Daphnia pulex: one gene and its partners. The protein of the gene in region 1 binds, or shares a complex with, the protein of each later gene. Links are inferred from orthologs where the notes say so. Each region holds a gene or a part of one and is shown in the gene's direction. Other genes may lie near its edges.

Region 1 (6,444 bases):
AAATGGAAGATCCGTCTGGCACGAGAAATTCATAATTGTAATCCAAAGAGAGGCATACTTCTTTATACTGTCAGAATCAAGTTCTGGTCGGGTAGAACGAATTAAACTTTGAATCACTAGAACAAAAAAAAAAGATACATACAAATATATATAACAGTAGCCTATTAGTATTTAATAACATACCAACTTCCCTCACAAAAGCAGAAAAATTAATAGGGTTCTGTACAGCAGCATGAACACCAACTAAAAACACGGCAACTGATCGACCACATCTATTTCGTTCAGCTTCAGGAGTCAGTTGTTGTTCGATTTAAACGTGTTGATTAAATATGTTAGAAAAAAGGAATATTTCAATTTAGTACCTATATCCAAATAGCGCGAGAAAAGATGGACAAACATTTTCTGTAGCTGCTGTGTTCTTTCAATTCCTACGGGGGTAGCATAGCGCATGAGAACAAGTCCAAGGGATTCAAGGCAAATAGGAAAAAGATCCAAGCTCTTTGAAGTATCCTCCCTGCAGAATTTATTAAATTGTTAGTTTTAAGATGGAATTTTAATTGATCAAAAGGCCTGCATACTGGATACAAATAAACGATGTCTTATTGAGTAGATACTCAAAAATGTGTGATACATTCTTTCCAGAAACCAAGAAGCTACACTCGCCCAAGGCTTTAAGGCCAACACATTTGAGCTGGAGGGAAGCCTGATCAGATTCCAAAATCTCTATCACATTCTTCATGAAAAACTAAGAAGATAAATTTTAAACAGAAGAAAATATACATTAATACACATGAAAATGAAAACCTCGAGTATTGATGATTTGTGTGTAGCATCTGATTCAATCTTCAAAATTTTTACGCTTTCGTCAATAAACTTCCCAAGTGCTTTCAGACCACTTTCAAGAATATCTGTTTTTTCGCGCAAAGCATAAGATTTCAAGTTATCGAACCAGGATTTGTATTGCTTTAGCAGCAAGTTATTGAAGAGAGATGCGTGTTCTTCCAGCATGTTCAATGCGGCTGTGCATAAAAAACAAAAACAAAAAATAAATAGTTCAGGCAAAATAATGAAAAACCAAATGTTAATATAACCACCTTTTTTGGTATGAACTCTCTTATCGACCAGTAAAAATTTCGTGAGAAGCATCAATAAGTAACTATGAATTTTTTCCCTACATTTTTGGTCAACGATTGAATTAAATGAATGGAGAAATCCTGTAAGAGCTTCAATACAGCCTGCTACACGTTTATCTTTGAAATCATGCTGCCTTTTCACCTTTAAAGAAAGAAAAAGAAAAATTATTTGATTTTACAGAACGTAATTATTTACGTTAATGTTTAGTTACCTCCTTTTCAAGTTCATAAAGGAGTTGGTTAATGATGCGACTGGCCTTTTCCTTCAGTGTACTAGGAAAGTACTGGGCCAGTCTGCCTAGGAGTACTAGGAAATTCATTTTCGCTAAAGTAAAACATAAATATTATAAATAACCATAGAAATACATATCTATGCATACACAGTAATAATACAATCTGCATAACAAACAGGGTAATTATACAATAGTCTTTTTAATTAATCACCTTTGCTTGAACTATCATCAGAAGATGTAGCCATTTTTTCAAAAAGCATATTAGAAAGGGCTGGCAAATTCAGTTCTTCTAATATTTCTGTTGGTGAAGTTTGAGCAGTAATAACAACTTGGCAAAGAACAAAATAACAAGCTCCTCGTATCTTAGAATTTTTGGAGTTCATGTACATCAATGCTAAATTCTTAAGGTAAATGAAAGTTATACTATTAGGTTTTTACACATAGCTAGGTAATATTAATTATTTTCCATACTTTAATAACCACTAAATGGTTGCTCATGGATTCTCCAAATTTTTCCAGTAAATCACCCAAAATTGACAGGGCACAATTTATTATTTCTGCAAAGTTGTCATCCTTTTGAGAATCTCTGAACTTGGACAACAAGGAAATTAATCCAATTTCTTTGTTTAGTAAAGCCGAGACAACAGAATCTTTAGAAAAAATACAATGTAAATGAATTGATTAACATGTTTTTGATGGGACCAATATTTGAAACCTACTGTCTTTGGTTTTGGATACAACATCTTTAATATCCTTGATTTGCTCCAGCATATCGCTGCACGTTCCAGAATGCATCTGAAATAGATAACCTTCCAATACGCTGTCCATTTTATATTCCTCGATGTTACCGACAACCGGACACTTTTAAAAGGCCAACTTCTTCTCGATTATTCGCAATTTTTACGACTTTAAAACTTTAATCATACATATTTAAATGTTAAGACAAGTTTTCAATTGTAGTGGTTCTTCAAAATTTTGCGATCAACGTTAACTCACGTAGGTTATAGGCCTAAGTGATGTTTTCATCCCTCCCGGGTTATGATGATTCGGCTGCTAGAATTGTGCTTTTGCGTAGGCATATTTGCCATGACTGATAGTTAGGCGTAATACATATTTGTAAAATATTCGCTATCATGGTTTTAAAATATCATTACGTTACTTTAAAAATATTTAAAAAAATTATTACCAACTCATTCCTCAAATGGGTATAAGGATTCAACTTTTTTGGAAATGAATAAATGTAGGCTATTTTCTGAAAACAAAAAAAAATCCAATGTATGATTATAATGCGAATAAAAATCAAGAAAAAATAATAATAATAAAAAATCTAAATTATTTTCCCTTCAGAAGATCCCGTTCTAGCTGACAGGCTAGGCTAGTCACCAAGTTACCTATGGTGTTTGGTGAATGGTGATTGCCTGATTGGTGGATGGTGGTTGCCTTGGCCTTCTCGATGGTAGTATTATTTGTTGAAATCTGGCACAGGCTTCCGCCATTAAAGACTCGTGTCCGGTGTGCAGTGCTTGTTTTTCATCATGGCTCGACGAAAAGAAAATGATCGAGCTCAGCAAAATAACGATGACTCGGATTCTAACCCAAACGATGAATTAGAAGACGAGCCCAACTTCGATGATCCGGAAGGTTATGAGGACGATATTTCTGAAGAAGGTACCGTTTGTAACTTACCTTTTGCCATATGGCTTTCCTGAGCATGCCGGCATTGAATCTTGCTAACTGTCAATGTAGATCTTATAGGTGACCTCATCAGGCAGCGTCCGAAAGAAACCGACGGAGTCGAATCAATTGTTGTTATTGACGGTGTTCCTCAGGTTGGTACTGAGAGGATAGAAAAACTTCAAAATGTCCTGAGAAAACTATTCCAAAAGTTTGGAAAAATAACTAATGAATATTATCCTCTTAATGCTGATGGATCAACTAAAGGGTAATTTATTAGTTTTTTTTTTAACTTTTGTGTCAGCCCAATTTTAACATAATATACTTTTGAAGCCATGTTTTCATAGAGTACTCAAATGCCAATGAAGCATTGGAAGTTCTTAAAGGAACTAATGGTTACAAGTTCGACAAAAATCACACCTTCACTGTGAACTTACTTACTGACTTCGAAAAATATAATGACATTCTTGATAAGTGGGAAAATCCAATTCCTCAGCCGTTTAAGGAGCAAGGATGCCTTCAATACTATCTTCTTGATCAAGACGCTTGTGACCAATTCTCAGTTGTGTATGAGCAGGGAGACAAAGTTGCTGTTTATTTGAACACTCAACCTGAACCCTCTCTGCTGGAAGAAAGACCTGTGAGTCACTTCACCTTTATTATTATTATTATTTTTTTTTTTCATATTAAAATTTTATCTGACCAATAATTATCTTCACAGAGATGGACTGAGACTCTAGTGCGGTGGTCACCTCTTGGCACCTATCTAGCCACTTTCCATGCAAAGGGTATAGCTCTTTGGGGTGGTGAAAAGTTTCAACAAATTGTGCGCTTCAGTCATCCAGGAGTGCAATTCATTGACTTCTCACCATGTGAGAAGTATTTAGTATCTTTTAGTCCACTGGCTGATTCAAGAGCAACTGATGAACCACAAGCCATCATCATTTGGGACGTGTTGAGCGGTCTTAAGCGACGAGCTTTTAATGCCGATAAATCTCAAGCCCTGCCCATTTTTAAGTGGTCGCATGATGACAAGTATTTCGCTAGGATGGGAATCGACATGCTTTCTGTTTATGAAACCCCATCATTTGGCCTTTTAGACAAGAAGTCGATCAAAGTAACGTACACGATTTACAAAATCTTCTAATAACCATTTCCTAACATGCACTCTTACATTTTGATAGGTTCAAGGAATTCGAGATTTTGCCTGGAGCCCAACAGACAATACGATTGCTTATTGGGTCGGAGAGGAGAAAGATACTCCTGCTCGCGTCACACTTCTTGAGTTGCCAAGTCGCAATGAAGTGCGAGTCAAAAATTTGTTTAGCGTTGCCGACTGTAAAATGTATTGGCAAAAATCAGGTGACTATTTGTGTGTGAAAGTCGACCGCTATGCCAAATTAAGGAAAGATAAGTCCGATATCAAATACAGGTAATGAGATGCCACTCCTTCAATTAATAGATATAAAAGCTAATTTTCCCCCCTTTGATAGCGGTATCTACTACAATTTGGAAGTTTTCCACATGCGAGAAAAACAAATTCCAGTCGACTCGGTAGAAATCAAGGAAACCATTCAAGCTTTTGCGTGGGAGCCAGTTGGTACTAAGTTTGCCGTCATCCACGGTGAGCCACCGAGTACTTCTGTTTCTTTCTTCGAAGTTAAAACTGGACAAACGCCTACGATGGTTAAAAAATACGAACGTAAACCTTGCAACCAGTTGTACTGGGCCCCTTCTGGTAAGAAAACATTAAATTTAATGTTAAAATTCTAAAATCCTTACTATACTTTATCGAACAGGCCAGTTCATTGTGTTAGCCGGCCTACGTGCCATGTCTGGCACATTGGAATTTGTCGACACCCATGATTTTACCGTCATGAATACGGGCGAACACTTCATGGCTACTGATGTGGAGTGGGATCCAACCGGTCGGTATGTCGCAACTGCTGTTTCCTGGTGGGGTCACAAGGTAACAAAAATCAAGCAATGTATTCATTTTTGACAATGTTTGATCTCTTGTACTTTGACAGGTCGATAATGCCTACTGGTTGTGGTCCTTCCAAGGACGCATTCTCAAACGCGTAGCACTAGACAAATTCTGTCAGCTGCAATGGAGACCTCGACCACCTTCATTACTTCCAGCCCAACAAATAAAGGACATTAAGAAGTCTTTGAAGAAATTTAGTGCCCAATTCGAAGTGAAGGATCGATTGAAAATGACTAAAGCTTCCAAAGTAAATATTTTTTGAATGTGTAATTTTTGGCGAAAGTATTTTCTAAAAATCTGACATTTTCAAACTTCACCCAGGAATTGGTAGAAAAACGCCGCAAACTGATGCAAGAATATGAAGACTTGCGTAAGCAGAAGCAAGAGGACTATGACGCTCAACGTCGCCGTCGTATCGAATTGCGCAACAGTAAGTTCTTAAACCTAGTTAATAAGTAAGCTTATCAGGATTTAACTCACAAATGAATTCACAGACGTGGATACGGATGAAACTGAAGGCCGTGGAGGGGAATTAGAAGAGGAGACAGTCGAGTTTTTCATTAAAGAGGAGACGACATTCATCGACGAGTAATTGCCAAGACTGTAAACAATCACCACATCTTGAGGCGTGCTGCTTATTCAGTGAAAGGCAGCACATCTCGAGGTTTTTGTCAGATATTAATATCCGACAAATCCAACATCAGAAAATGAAGACAAATATAATTGTGTGTCTCATCGATTGGTTATGGCTGTTTGCGTCTCTCTTTGGTTTCAACTATCATGTACCCTTTAGATTATCAAAAATACATTTTGATTGCCTCGTCGCAACTGAAGTTGAACGAGAAGTAAAAAGGAATATATTGTACATGTTTCTGTTTGGGAAAAATTTACCGTTAACATTCGTTGATCAATAAGTCTGCAAATTTTTCTATAATGTTAGTCTTAAACTCTTAACAGAGATATACTCTTTCTTATAGTGCCCGAGGGTACTGTAATCGAAACATGGAGTTCGATCATTTTGACAGCAGAGTAATGAAAGACTGGAAGTACTTAAATTTTCCATGGCTTGAATTAGTTAGCATTTCGGAATTTATGGGTTATAGTGGGAAATGGAATTGAAGTCTGAAGGAAATGACGGATTTATAGAATGTTGGAAACTGGAATGGATTGGAAAATTGGAAAAACAAAAATATTATTTTTACTACTACATTTTTTTCTGGTGCGTGCGGCAACGTTGTCTCACATTATGACACGAAGTTGGGTGTGAAGTGGTGTGAAGAAGAAGGCGAAGTTTTCATTTCGATCAGTTTTGTCAGACATGGTAATGGTAAAATCTATTGCACTCCGGAGTCCGGAGCGCTCTAGTGTCAAAAGTGGCTATTGCACTCCGGAGTCCGGAGTCCTCTAGCGTCAAAAG
Region 2 (5,996 bases), on another chromosome or scaffold:
ACTGTGAGATACGCCACACAGCGGCCGATTGCACAACCGCATCGGAAAGTGTCCCAATATTGACTCGGGGATCGAAGAAATTTCTATAAGACGAAAAGCCGTCGGACCGGAGCCGAACATATTCAAGTGTTTCCCATCCGTCAAGTGTTTAAATATTTCAAACAAAATAAAACTGCAGGAAATCATATTACGCAGCACAAATGGGTCACGCTGATGCGCACCATAAATTTTCATCGGAATATTATTTCCTTATATATTCTTTCATCTACCGCCTGCTAGGATTTCACATCCTATAACAATAAACATCACTATCAGTGATGCAATCTCGTCTTAGTCACTTAGTCGGCTTAGTGAAATTACATTTATGCCACGCTCCCCGAGTTTCAACCCATCCCATTTTCACAGCGTCGCAGAATTCCTACGCGCCTAATTCGATTAAGATTTTTACAAAATGGTATTCAACACGAATAACAATAAGTTGAAAGGATGGATGGTGACGTTTTTTTTCCACGTTCCTTTGCTTCCCATGAAATCGTCAGCTGACACATGGTCGATACGTAGACGACGGAAACTTAACACGATTTTTTTTTTCTCTATGAAGCAGATTATTGAACGTATCGATCGTATGAGCAAATGAATCAATAAGAACTCAAGCTCCACAAAAAGATACAAGTTAATCCCTTTGAAAACTAGAAACATTACAAATCAGGAAATCATTCATAAAAGACCCTTCAGTCAAACAGATCTACAAATGGATTGCCAAAAAAGAGAATGTTAAATTTATTTCCATGAAACTTTAATTCAAAGTGCCCATTCGTCATTTGACACGTTTGCGCGCGCTCCCTTTTCAGTTACAAAATACCGTACATACCTTATGAGTTCTTTGTCAACAACTATTGATCTTGGAAAATTTGTCTGTTCTGCGCATGGGCGATGCATACATAAAACGTGGGTCACCTATTTTGAATGGCAGCTTAAAGCTGGTTGATTATGTGAATTCCAGCAAACAGTTCCATTGGGAGCAATACAAGTGACGAGCAGGGAACCGGCAAACAAATTTGTATACATTAGCACTTGTTTTCTTCAAGTACGAATGGATCAGGAATTCTTCTGAATACAGCAAGAAATTTATCACCACTATTTCGCGTGACTTTTTTGCCCTCCTCCGTTGATTCGTACAGTTTTGGAACTACAATGTCTTGATCCTGATACCGCAAAAAGAATTTGTAGTTTTATAGCTATTTAATTATAAAGTATAACTAACCAGCTCTTCCTGGGTTAGTCTCTTAAATAATGGATGTTGGTCTAGATGCATAACCATCCATTCATGAAGATCTTTAACATCAGTAATTGTGTAAACCAAACCCTAAAGTAAAATTTAATTAATCACACAAGATATCTACATCAAGTAGCTAAAGAAGGGCCGTTCTAGGCCTGCCTACTTACCCCTTCAGCCAAAACATAGGCATATTCAGCCAAGAGAGTGTCATTGATAATACGCCACTTGTGTTTGGCCTTCTTAAAATGAGGATCAGGGAAGAGGAAAAACATTTTTGTCAATTGTCCTTTATCGAAAAAGCAAGGGAGGTACCTAGTAGCATAGAATAAATTAAGCAAACATGCCCAAGTAAATGAACAAAATAAATGTAAGTACTTCATGGCATTGCTTCTTAAGCAGGCAACATTTCCGTAATCACCTGGATGCAAAATCCTCAACGCCTTTATGCGATCCTGGACATATTCTGAAACTTTCAAACGAATCTCCATTCCTAACATTAAAGTCTCTGGGAACATGGTGGATAATGATACTGTTAAAAAAAAATACAAAATTAATTTTCCACATATTTTATTGGCAAAATGTGATAAAAATACTCAATAAACCGCCATAGCCACATCCAATATCAGCAAACTGAACTTTGTGTTTCATTATTCCATCTTTGCTGAATGTAGGATAGAGCTCATCCCATTTCATGTCATTGGGAGAGACAGGACTTCAAACGACAAATTGGGTTAGAAAATGACTTAATGATAAATCGAAAACTGGAAATAAGATACTCACTAGTCAAAACAGTGATCTGCGATAGGATTGGAGTGTGCTCTTTGTCGATAATATTTTTTCTGTGGTAAGCTAGCCATTTTTGCTGTATTCGAGTTCCACGTGCCGGAATCTCATAAACGGCGGGATTGTATTCGAAGAAGAGCAGACGAAATTGTAAAAGCAGTCAAAATTACGAAATGAATTTTTCAAAACTGGCAATGTCGCTCTACACACGTTCTAATGGCTGCTTGCTGACACATTTCTGCAATAGCAGTGAATTTTCTACTTTTTGATTATTTACTTGACGTAATCAATCTTCTCCAAGAAAAATGCCGGTTGCTGATAATGAGTAAGTGAAATGAGACAAATTAATGTGCAAATATTAAAAATACAACACAATCTTGATATGATTTCAGAGTTAAATCCAGTTGGGCCGATGACGTTGAGGATATCGATGGTTAGTAATGCCGCTTCCCCGTAATTAATGTAAGATTTTCTTTAATCATGCCGGTATTATTCCTTAGGTCTCGGTTTACCCCCTAACACTGAAGAATACAAAAATGGGCTGAAAATTGTCACAGAGTATGGTCTTGATGATGATAACAGGAAGTTCAAGGTGGTGCGTACTTACAAAATAGAGAAAAGGTATGTAGCTAAAGCCATTGCCCAGCGTAAAAGTTGGCCAAAATTTGGTCTTTCCAAGGAAGATAAACCAGGACCAAACCCTGCAACAACAATTGTATCTGAAGATGTAGCCATGCAGGTATTTCTTTTCTCAGTTGATCTATCAAAACCGTTGGATGCTAATTACCATTTTTACTTTGACAGTTTATTACGAACAAAGAGGATCCTGATAACAAGGAAGATGACCCTCTTATGAAGTTAAAAAGCATGCAGAAGGGCATTGTTAAGTGTCGTATCTGTAAAGAGGACCATTGGACAACACAGTGTCCTTACAAGGACACACTTTTGCCTGTCCAAGAAGCACTCAATAAGGTAAACACATTTTCTTTATTTTGAATTGAACTCTTGCTAATTTTGCTCTATATCTCTTTAATTAAGGCTGAGGAGAAGAAGGCCGGCCCGCCTCCTGCCGCAGCTGCTGCTGGAGGACCGCAAGCCAAGGGTGGTAAAGAAGGAAGCGCCTATATTGCACCTGCACTTCGTGATGGTGGCAACAGAAAAGGAGAGACTATGGCTATGGGTCGACGAAGTAAGATACAGTTTCTTCATAGTAGTTTATTTCATATTATTAAAACCACCGGAGAAGTAATAGAAAACATACATAGGAAAAACATTATTTAATGATTACCCTTTTCTTTCCCGATAACAGCTGATGAAGGGTGCACTGTACGAGTAACCAACCTCTCGGAAAACGCTCGCGATTCCGATCTTCAAGAATTGTTCGGCCGTATTGGCGAAATCTCACGCATCTTCCTCTCAAAGGTTAGACTCAAATTTATTCACTAATTATCATTTTGTAAAAATTATGGCACCGCTTCAAACTGAATTTTAGGACAAAAACACTGGCCAATCCAGAGGTTTTGCATTTGTCAGCTACAAACGACGAGAAGACGCCGAACGAGCTATCAAGACCTTGAATGGTTTTGGTTACGACCATCTTATCCTGACTGTCGAATGGTCTAAGTAAGTTAGCTCTCAATTCACTTAATTTCATTCAAAATAGTTGTGAGCTGAATTTGAAATTCATGACTGGAATTTTTAAAATTTTATTTTTTAACAATTTAGTTCTTTAAATTGACGAGTCAAATGAAACTGATCTTTCTCTTTTCAATCGTTTAACAGACCATCGGGAACACAGTGAAAAAAGCCTAAAATTCCTTCATCAAATATTGGATGCTACGATCATGTAAAGGGATAAAAAAAATACACGCAAATGGATTCCAATCAAGCTCTTCAACCCTCTATCACAGACATGAACCGAATTTTCACCTTTCTCTTTTGTCTTTCTAAGCTAAACATCAAGGGAATGAGGATTACCTCACCTAAACATTATTTTTAAGTGAAAAAAAAGTAAAGTTATCTAGTTTTGCGCTGATTCATCCTCGGCTTGACGTGCAAGATGATAGCCCCTGCTGTTACTGCTAAAGCCTCGTCCTTTACGTTTTGCCAGGTACCAGGCTACAAAAAAGACTGTCGTGATAAAAATGGTGCATCCTAGAACTATGTACATCAGGGAAAGTGGATTCGACTCGATCAATGCGCCTGTTACCTGTATCAACACGGTAAACAAAACAGACGGGTTATAAATACGTAGTGGAAATCATTAGCATTTAAATTTAACGTACCGTTGGGAATATCATCTCTCCCATTGAAGAAGCAACTGAGAAAGCCGCAGAAATCCGGTTAGTTACCAGCAGGTGTGTTTCGGTCCATATGAAGCCTGTTGCGAAGGTTGAAGCCATTCCTACGCCAACCAAGGCCGAACCGACGTACAAAATAGTGGCGTCCGTCTGCCCAGCAACACAGAGAGTCATCGAGCCGAGCGCAGTAGAGCATAAGTTGAAAATGAGCATGGCTGTGGGATTGGTGAAGTGGGCAACGAAAATGGCTACAAATCGTGCGGCCGCGAACGAGGCCCAGAATGTAGTTGTGATGTAATTGGCAGTCGAAGTCGATAGCTTAAGTGGGCTCTCCAACGCAAATGTAGTAAGGAACTGAGCAAATACGACCTCAGAGCCGACGTACATCAAGTAAAACGAGAACATCAGCACGACGAAGGATATCTTGGCGCTGGGCCGGAAAGGTTTAACTTTCCGATCAGACGTTTGACGTTCGGCGGTCGAGCTGCGAGTTCCAGAACACAGAAAGAAGAGAAAGAAAAAGGCTGTGTGCAAGACGATGATGGCGATAACGGTATACAACATGTGCATCCGCGTAACTCCAAAACGCTCCAGATAGTCAGAAACTTTAACGGGGGACCGATCAATAGTCTCGCTCTCATTGTGGATGGGTGAATTTGTTGTTGTCACAAGTACGTTAGGCTCGGAAGTTGTGACTGGAAGTACGAGCGTAGTCGAGGGAACCACCGAGCTGACTTCATCTTGTTGACCTCTGCTCTTTCCACGACTCTTGACTACAACATTATCTGCAAGGTCGACTGGCAATGTTGTAGCAACTGGAATGGGTAATGAAATGTTTTTGATGGTCGTGGGTAGCAATTCTATCGAGGATGGTGTCGTCGTTGTCGAAGTTGTAGTTGAAACAGCCGTAGTTGATTGAGACGTCGTCGAAGAATAAAGAGGAGTTGTAGTAGGGAATGTTTTAACATTAAGTTCAGCACCTACAAGTTCAATATTAAAATCGTGTTTACATTATTTTCTGATTGTTAAAATTACCTTTTGTTACGTTGTTGATGGCAGTTTCTTTAGGCTGGAATTCAGCGTTTAAGTTTGATGAATTGATAACGGGTTCTACAGTAGTTAGAGGAATGGTGGTTATCGTAGAGTTTTCAGTAACAGGACTCAAAGTTGAAGAAGTGACGGTATCGTTTCCGGTGGATTCAGACGCATTCTTGGATGAAACGGTAGAAGTATTATTGTCACTGCTGCCGATATTGAGCCCTTGGACTTCATTGGATTTTTGGAGTATCATCGTTATTTCCGTCATGTTATCTTGAGCTTTCGGGGTACCATTGATGGAAGGAGGAATTGTTGTTATATCGGTGGATGTAAGCGTAATGGCGGGTGTAGTTTGATTTTCGTTGGATGACGCAGTCGTGGTAGTTACAACGACTTCCTGGGGCGGTTGAGTCTCTACTTTCAACGGAGTATTATCAAACTGCTTCGAAGGGCCTAGAATTTGGCCATTAATGACGGCAGGTTTCGGTTTCTTTGGCTTTTCTGTCAAGGGCGTTGTCTGATTTTGGTTAACAACTGGACTTATAGTTGTTGTCGATGTAACATCTCCAAATGTGGAATTGGATGCTGTTGGGATA
Region 3 (5,608 bases), about 1.5 Mb from region 1:
TTGCGTCTCGAAAGCTTGAAAGTAGCACTTCTTCCCTTGCGTTGCTGCGAAAAAAAAAAAAAAAACAAAAAAAACAAGTTACATACATAAGCCACGAATTTACTTAACAATTCTAAGAACTAAGAAATATAGTTGAGATTTCGTAATATAATGCAAAGCTATCACAGGTAACTGATGAGTTAAACTGCACATAGTATGTAAAAAAGGGGAAATAATAAAGCTTACTCTGACTTGTGTAGTGTCCCAGGGTTTTGTACAATCGGCCCCGGTCCACTGCTTCCCTACGTTAAAGTCTATTGTTCAATTTCCAGTCTTTTTTGGGTTCTAATTTAACTAGCTTGTAAGATACTTAAAATAAAGACACATAAGTAAAAAAATAAAATCGAATATTCAACCAATGGACACCACCAATAATGATTCATTTCAACGAAGTATTAACAGGTAAATAAACCAGTCGCACACTCTTACTATCGCTTGACGAAACTATGCAAGCAATAGTACAGACTGGGAAAATTGCTTACGGATTTCCGGCGCTGGCGCTCCAACCGGGCTTCTTTCTTTCTTTCACGGAAGTATCGCAGTCGTTCATATTCAGTACATTCCTCATGTCGAGTTAATCCATTCCTACGGTATTTGATTAGTTCTCGAATCCGCAATCGCAAAGCTCTCTCTTTAGTTAGATTGCGTAAGAATTGCTCATGCTCAGGTGCCGTGTGGAATTGGGAAAACGAACGAAATTTTTCTTGCGTTTCTCTGTACAAGGAAAAAAATGTAACTGTTTGTAATGAATCTATAGTTAACTAATTGAAACATGAATTACTTTTCCTTTTGGGACTCCCTTTTTTTTGCGGCAGTCGTAGGTTTTTCCTTCTCTTTCTTGATAGCGTTAAAAAATTGGGATACCAGTTGAAAATCCCGAGCAACCCGCTTCCTTCGGGCTCTTTCCCTCAGGCGGCGAGTATACATATCGACTTGAGCCAGTTTTAGAGCCAAATCAATATCCTCGTCGTCATGATTAATGGCAAGATGAGAAACAATTGCCTCAGCTTCATTGTCATGTTCCTACAAAAAATAAAAATAATGTTGAAGTTTTTAAGACAATTTGTTTCATGACAAATTAAGACCCACCCTTTCAAAATCATCTCTTTGAGGCATGTATCCAAGTTCTAATGTTTCTTCAGGTTGAATAGCTAAAGGTGGTAGTCGTGATGTGATGGATGGAGATAGAGGTGCATTATCTGGACAAGTGTGATCAATTGCTGCCAAGCGAGACTCTCCACTTGCGAGAAGTCCATTTGGAAGCCCTTGCCATGTTAGTTTACCTATTGTTCCTGTGACAAATCTATCACAGTACTGTTCTTTGCATTCTGTAAAAAAAACATAATTGGAGAGTAACTGATGATAAAATCCTGATAAAAATCAACAATTACTTTCTGAATCCCGTGTTTCTACATGTTTCGCAACATCTTCCCAATTTCCATAACCAAACTGTTCTATTGCATCAAGTAACTGATAGTCTTCCCTTGCAATCCAGCCACCTTCATCCTCCCTTTGTTGGTCAGGAAAAATACTAAAAGTACCAGGATCCTAGAAATTAAAAATAAAGTATTTATTGAGAGTTTGATAGAAAAACTTAAATACTCACTATTAATCTATATCCATGACTACTTTTATGTGGTCCAATTTCACAGCCAAGAGAGAAACACTAGAAAGAAACATTGCAAAACTGTGTTATTAAAATAATTCAAATTCGCCGCCGACCAACCGGCAATACCACTCCGGTGGGCGTCATAACAAACAACAAAGAAGGAAGGGGAGGGATTCATTCAACGAAGATTTTATACCACACCTGTAAACAAAGTTCGTAATCGACACAAACGTTACATCGGATTCGAATGCCAAGGATGTCGTCCTGACAGTAGCCACATCGATGCTTCATAAATAAATCTGAGGAATGGATACAGAAAGAAAGATTTTCAATTTTCGAAAATAAGGATTCAACGAGAGCATTTTTTTTTACCCGCCATCTTTAGCCTTCCCTTCCCATCAAGAACAACTAAGCTATGCCAACGCTAGCGAAAGCATTGGTCGCGCCCTCTGGTGACTGAGAAGTGAGAAGTCTTTAAAAAATAATTAAAATGACGTGTAAAATTTATAAACAATGTACACCGTACATTTTATTAAATTAAATTTTTTTTAATGTATAACGAGACGTGTTTGGTAAATAGAAATAATTCAACGTATTATATATCACCAATTGGCAACTAGTTCGTGTCGGCTTTTTCAGCTCCAATGCGGTAGTGGTCTGCAAAAAAAGTCACGCAAAATGGCTCTCAATCTGACTGTCAAGTTGCATCCTGTTGTATTATTTCAGATTATTGACTCTTATGAGCGTCGTAATCCTGATGCACAGAGAGTAATTGGAACGTTGCTTGGTAACATACAATTTAGATCATCCGTTTGCTTTCGCGTTTTATTGTTTTTTCGACTGTTGACACGTGTATCGGTATCGAGTACCTGACAAAATCTTTGGATTATATACCTAAATTCCTATAATATGCGAAATCGAAGTTGTGATAACTCATTTTTCATATTGATTTTTTCCAGGCACATCAGATAAAAATGGTGTGGAAGTGACCAATTGCTTTTGTGTGCCTCACAATGAATCAGAAGAAGAAGTGGCTGTGGAATTGGACTTTGCCAAGGATATGTATGACTTGCATCGTAAAGTTAATCCCCAAGAAAGCATTGTAGGTTGGTGGGCAACTGGTACTGGAGTCACATCTCACTCTGCTCTTATTCATGAGTACTACTCCAGAGAGTCCTCCAATCCTGTTCACATTACAGTGGACACCACATTGCAAGATACCCGTATGGGAATCAAAGCTTATGTCAGGTACATGCTATTAATTCAGTATGATACAATTGCTTTGAAAAATAATTATCTTTAAATTATCATCTAGTGTCCCAATGGGTATCACAGGCAAAACTATGGGATGCATGTTTGCTCCTGTTTCTGTTGAGATAGCATGCTATGACCCAGAAACTATTGGATGTAATTATAATAGAAAATGTGTATGTATACTGGGAATTAATCTTTGATTGTTTTTCAGTAAATGCCTGCCAGAAAACCAAAACCTCGGTTAAACGTCAAGCGGGCATCGCTTCGGATCTTACTCAGATTGTTGAAGCCTCGCAGCAGATGGAAAACATGCTGGACACTATCTTGGCTTATGTTGACGACGTAATGAGTGGCTCCAAAACGGCTGACAACACGTTTGGTCGTTCTCTATTAGATATGGTTCATTCGGTACCTAAAATGACACCCGACGAATTTGAAGAGATGCTTAATTCAAACCGAAAGGTAGAAAACATTACCCAATATTTACTTATTTAATCTAATTTTTGTAAAACTTTATTAATTTAGGATTTATTGATGGTATTATATCTATCACAACTTACCAAGACTCAACTGTCGCTGAACGAAAAACTCACATTGTTGACAATTTAATTCAGAACGTTGATATAAAAAATAAAAATGAACATCTCCCAATTAAATTACAATTTTCTGATGTAGTCCTCGTGAGCATATTTATTAGGAAACTATAGTATACAGTCACACGTACACAAGGGGGAAGAAAATTTCTTCGCTACCAAGGAAAAGAATCACACCCATCTTCTCTCAGAGAGCAAAAAAAATGATGATTAGGAAAAGCGAAAAACAGAATTTCAAGAAACGACCATCAGGAAGTTGGCCAGGTTTAGTAGCTATCGTTTACATGAGGAATGCTTAATTAAGCAGGCACATTGGTGGGTAAGATAGATTTATCCAGATCGGTAAACCAAGCATGATCTAAAGCATCCTGAGCCGTGATACGAAGGGCTGGATCGTAAATGAGAGTTTTTTGAAGCAGATCAAATCCAATCGAGTCAAGTTGCTTCACGGAATTTTGAAGGTGGTAAGTATTCCAATTAGGGAAAGTAGGTTTATAGTCGGGCATTTTTGAAACGCCTGGCCACATTTCCTCCGTGGGCGTCTTCATTACTCTGTGTTTCAAATAAAATAGGAACAAATGTAATTTTAAAAATAAAAAAAAAAGGACAAGTAACACTACCGGAAAATACGGTAAAGCTGATCAATTTCCGAATCTCCTTGGAACAATGGCTTTTTCGTTATCATTTCAGCCATAATACAGCCAACCGACCACACGTCTATGGGGCACGAATATCTTGATGACCCAAGCAATACTTCAGGAGCACGGTACCATAGAGTAACAACCTTCGTGAGTTCAAAAGAATTTATAGTATACGTCCATGCATTGGGAACCTTCTTTCCTTTACCTCGTGAGTGTAGACACGAACGGGAACTCCAAATACGCGCCCAAGACCGAAATCAGCTATCTTAATAATTCCGTTTTTATCGATGAGTAAGTTCTGGGGCTTCAAATCTCTATGCAAAACTCGACGTCTATGACAATATAAAATGCCTTCCAAAATCTAGAGGGAAAATATAAATCAGGCCAATATATAAATGAGTCCTAAATCTTCTAAGCAAACCTGGTGGCAATAAGACTTAACAAGAGTTTTATCCATCAACTGCCCAGTTGGAATGCTGTCCATGTACTTTTTAAGGTCCATTGACAGGAACTCAAAAATTAAATACAGCTTTCCTTCTTGCATCAAAACATCCTCCAGACAGACGATATTGGGATGTAGCAGCTCTTTCAAAAGTGATATCTCCCTGATGGCTGTCGAAGGAACACCATCATCTTCATTTTCAAGCCTGATTTTCTTCATGGCAACAAATTGTTGAGTCTTACGGTTTTTAGCCTTGTAGACAACACCATAAGTACCTTTGCGAAACAAAAGTTTTAAAATCAGTTCAAGTTACACAGCTTAGTGTACCAGGGATCATTACCTTCACCGATCTTTTCTATTTTGGTAAAGTCTTCCATTGCAGAAGGCATCACTATTGTTTGTTAAGAAACAAGAACAAAAACCAAAAAGTGTGAAGAATTGAAATCTCGGGAAAGTAACGGAAATTTGAAGTCGAATGGCAGCAAACAAAAACTGGAGTGACGTATTCTTCGTATTCCACCTGCAAATCAGATTGTCATCAATTGATTCGTAAGACTCTTGCATAAAATATTTCGTTACACGATAAACAGAGAATAATCTAACAAAGTAAAGAAAGTTCGTACCCAACGTGTTTCCACAGACTCGACTTTAAAGGAAAAGGTGAGCACACTTGGATGTCAAAGAGACGGTGGCGGCCGTTGGACTAAGGAATGTAACCGCCAAATTTTGAAACGACTTCATCACTTCACAGAATCACGGCCCTCTATGGGTGATAATCAGAAACCCATTGGACAAAATGGATGTATTTGACGAACCTACTATACGATTTCGAATTTGTTATAGTTCTTTTAAACTTTTTTAAGGTTTTGAATTAAAACTCAAATTAAAATAACAAATTCCCGCTGGTGATTTCAAGTTATAATTGTCTATTAGTTCGAATGACGCTAGTATTATGAATGAATAAAAACCCATACAACTTATACAAGTTTGAAAAACTCATTAACATTATCGATATTATTTTTAAATATCA

Evidence for each region.
Region 2: eukaryotic translation initiation factor 3 subunit B-like (region 1) and eukaryotic translation initiation factor 3 subunit G-like share a complex: the UniProt entries of both Caenorhabditis elegans proteins name them as parts of the eukaryotic translation initiation factor 3 (eIF-3) complex. The link is inferred for Daphnia pulex from reciprocal best matches to the Caenorhabditis elegans genes eif-3.B and eif-3.G.
Region 3: eukaryotic translation initiation factor 3 subunit B-like (region 1) and eukaryotic translation initiation factor 3 subunit F-like share a complex: the UniProt entries of both Caenorhabditis elegans proteins name them as parts of the eukaryotic translation initiation factor 3 (eIF-3) complex. The link is inferred for Daphnia pulex from reciprocal best matches to the Caenorhabditis elegans genes eif-3.B and eif-3.F.

The regions. Positions count from the first base shown.
Region 1 is NC_060026.1:9,962,428-9,968,871, reverse strand, and holds eukaryotic translation initiation factor 3 subunit B-like, read left to right. Parts: upstream 1-2,776; 5' UTR 2,777-2,901; coding exon 2,902-3,034; intron 3,035-3,112; coding exon 3,113-3,308; intron 3,309-3,373; coding exon 3,374-3,680; intron 3,681-3,761; coding exon 3,762-4,157; intron 4,158-4,224; coding exon 4,225-4,472; intron 4,473-4,533; coding exon 4,534-4,778; intron 4,779-4,839; coding exon 4,840-5,009; intron 5,010-5,070; coding exon 5,071-5,274; intron 5,275-5,348; coding exon 5,349-5,457; intron 5,458-5,521; coding exon 5,522-5,619; 3' UTR 5,620-5,883; downstream 5,884-6,444. Other genes in the region: DNA-dependent protein kinase catalytic subunit-like, read right to left, coding at 1-116, 184-285, 363-514, 579-745, 805-1,019, 1,095-1,275, 1,346-1,458, 1,578-1,767 and 2 more. UniProt on the Caenorhabditis elegans protein: RNA-binding component of the eukaryotic translation initiation factor 3 (eIF-3) complex, which is involved in protein synthesis of a specialized repertoire of mRNAs and, together with other initiation factors, stimulates binding of mRNA and methionyl-tRNAi to the 40S ribosome.
Region 2 is NC_060023.1:11,175,734-11,181,729, reverse strand, and holds eukaryotic translation initiation factor 3 subunit G-like, read left to right. Parts: upstream 1-2,250; 5' UTR 2,251-2,367; coding exon 2,368-2,387; intron 2,388-2,454; coding exon 2,455-2,495; intron 2,496-2,562; coding exon 2,563-2,801; intron 2,802-2,866; coding exon 2,867-3,034; intron 3,035-3,100; coding exon 3,101-3,251; intron 3,252-3,262; exon of another isoform or gene 3,263-3,371; coding exon 3,372-3,484; exon of another isoform or gene 3,485-3,554; coding exon 3,555-3,685; exon of another isoform or gene 3,686-3,844; coding exon 3,845-3,863; 3' UTR 3,864-3,946; downstream 3,947-5,996. Other genes in the region: tRNA (guanine-N(7)-)-methyltransferase-like, read right to left, coding at 1,068-1,205, 1,265-1,366, 1,447-1,591, 1,655-1,808, 1,873-1,991, 2,060-2,136; flocculation protein FLO11-like, read right to left, coding at 4,083-4,271, 4,348-5,342, 5,398-5,996. UniProt on the Caenorhabditis elegans protein: RNA-binding component of the eukaryotic translation initiation factor 3 (eIF-3) complex, which is involved in protein synthesis of a specialized repertoire of mRNAs and, together with other initiation factors, stimulates binding of mRNA and methionyl-tRNAi to the 40S ribosome.
Region 3 is NC_060026.1:11,478,755-11,484,362, reverse strand, and holds eukaryotic translation initiation factor 3 subunit F-like, read left to right. Parts: upstream 1-2,274; 5' UTR 2,275-2,326; coding exon 2,327-2,435; intron 2,436-2,607; coding exon 2,608-2,896; intron 2,897-2,963; coding exon 2,964-3,055; intron 3,056-3,113; coding exon 3,114-3,364; intron 3,365-3,427; coding exon 3,428-3,511; 3' UTR 3,512-3,558; downstream 3,559-5,608. Other genes in the region: transcriptional adapter 2-beta-like, read right to left, coding at 1-44, 226-281, 522-753, 821-1,062, 1,129-1,367, 1,431-1,587, 1,646-1,705, 1,850-1,947 and 1 more; cyclin-dependent kinase 1-like, read right to left, coding at 3,795-4,047, 4,116-4,279, 4,342-4,497, 4,558-4,853, 4,919-4,967. UniProt on the Caenorhabditis elegans protein: Component of the eukaryotic translation initiation factor 3 (eIF-3) complex, which is involved in protein synthesis of a specialized repertoire of mRNAs and, together with other initiation factors, stimulates binding of mRNA and methionyl-tRNAi to the 40S ribosome.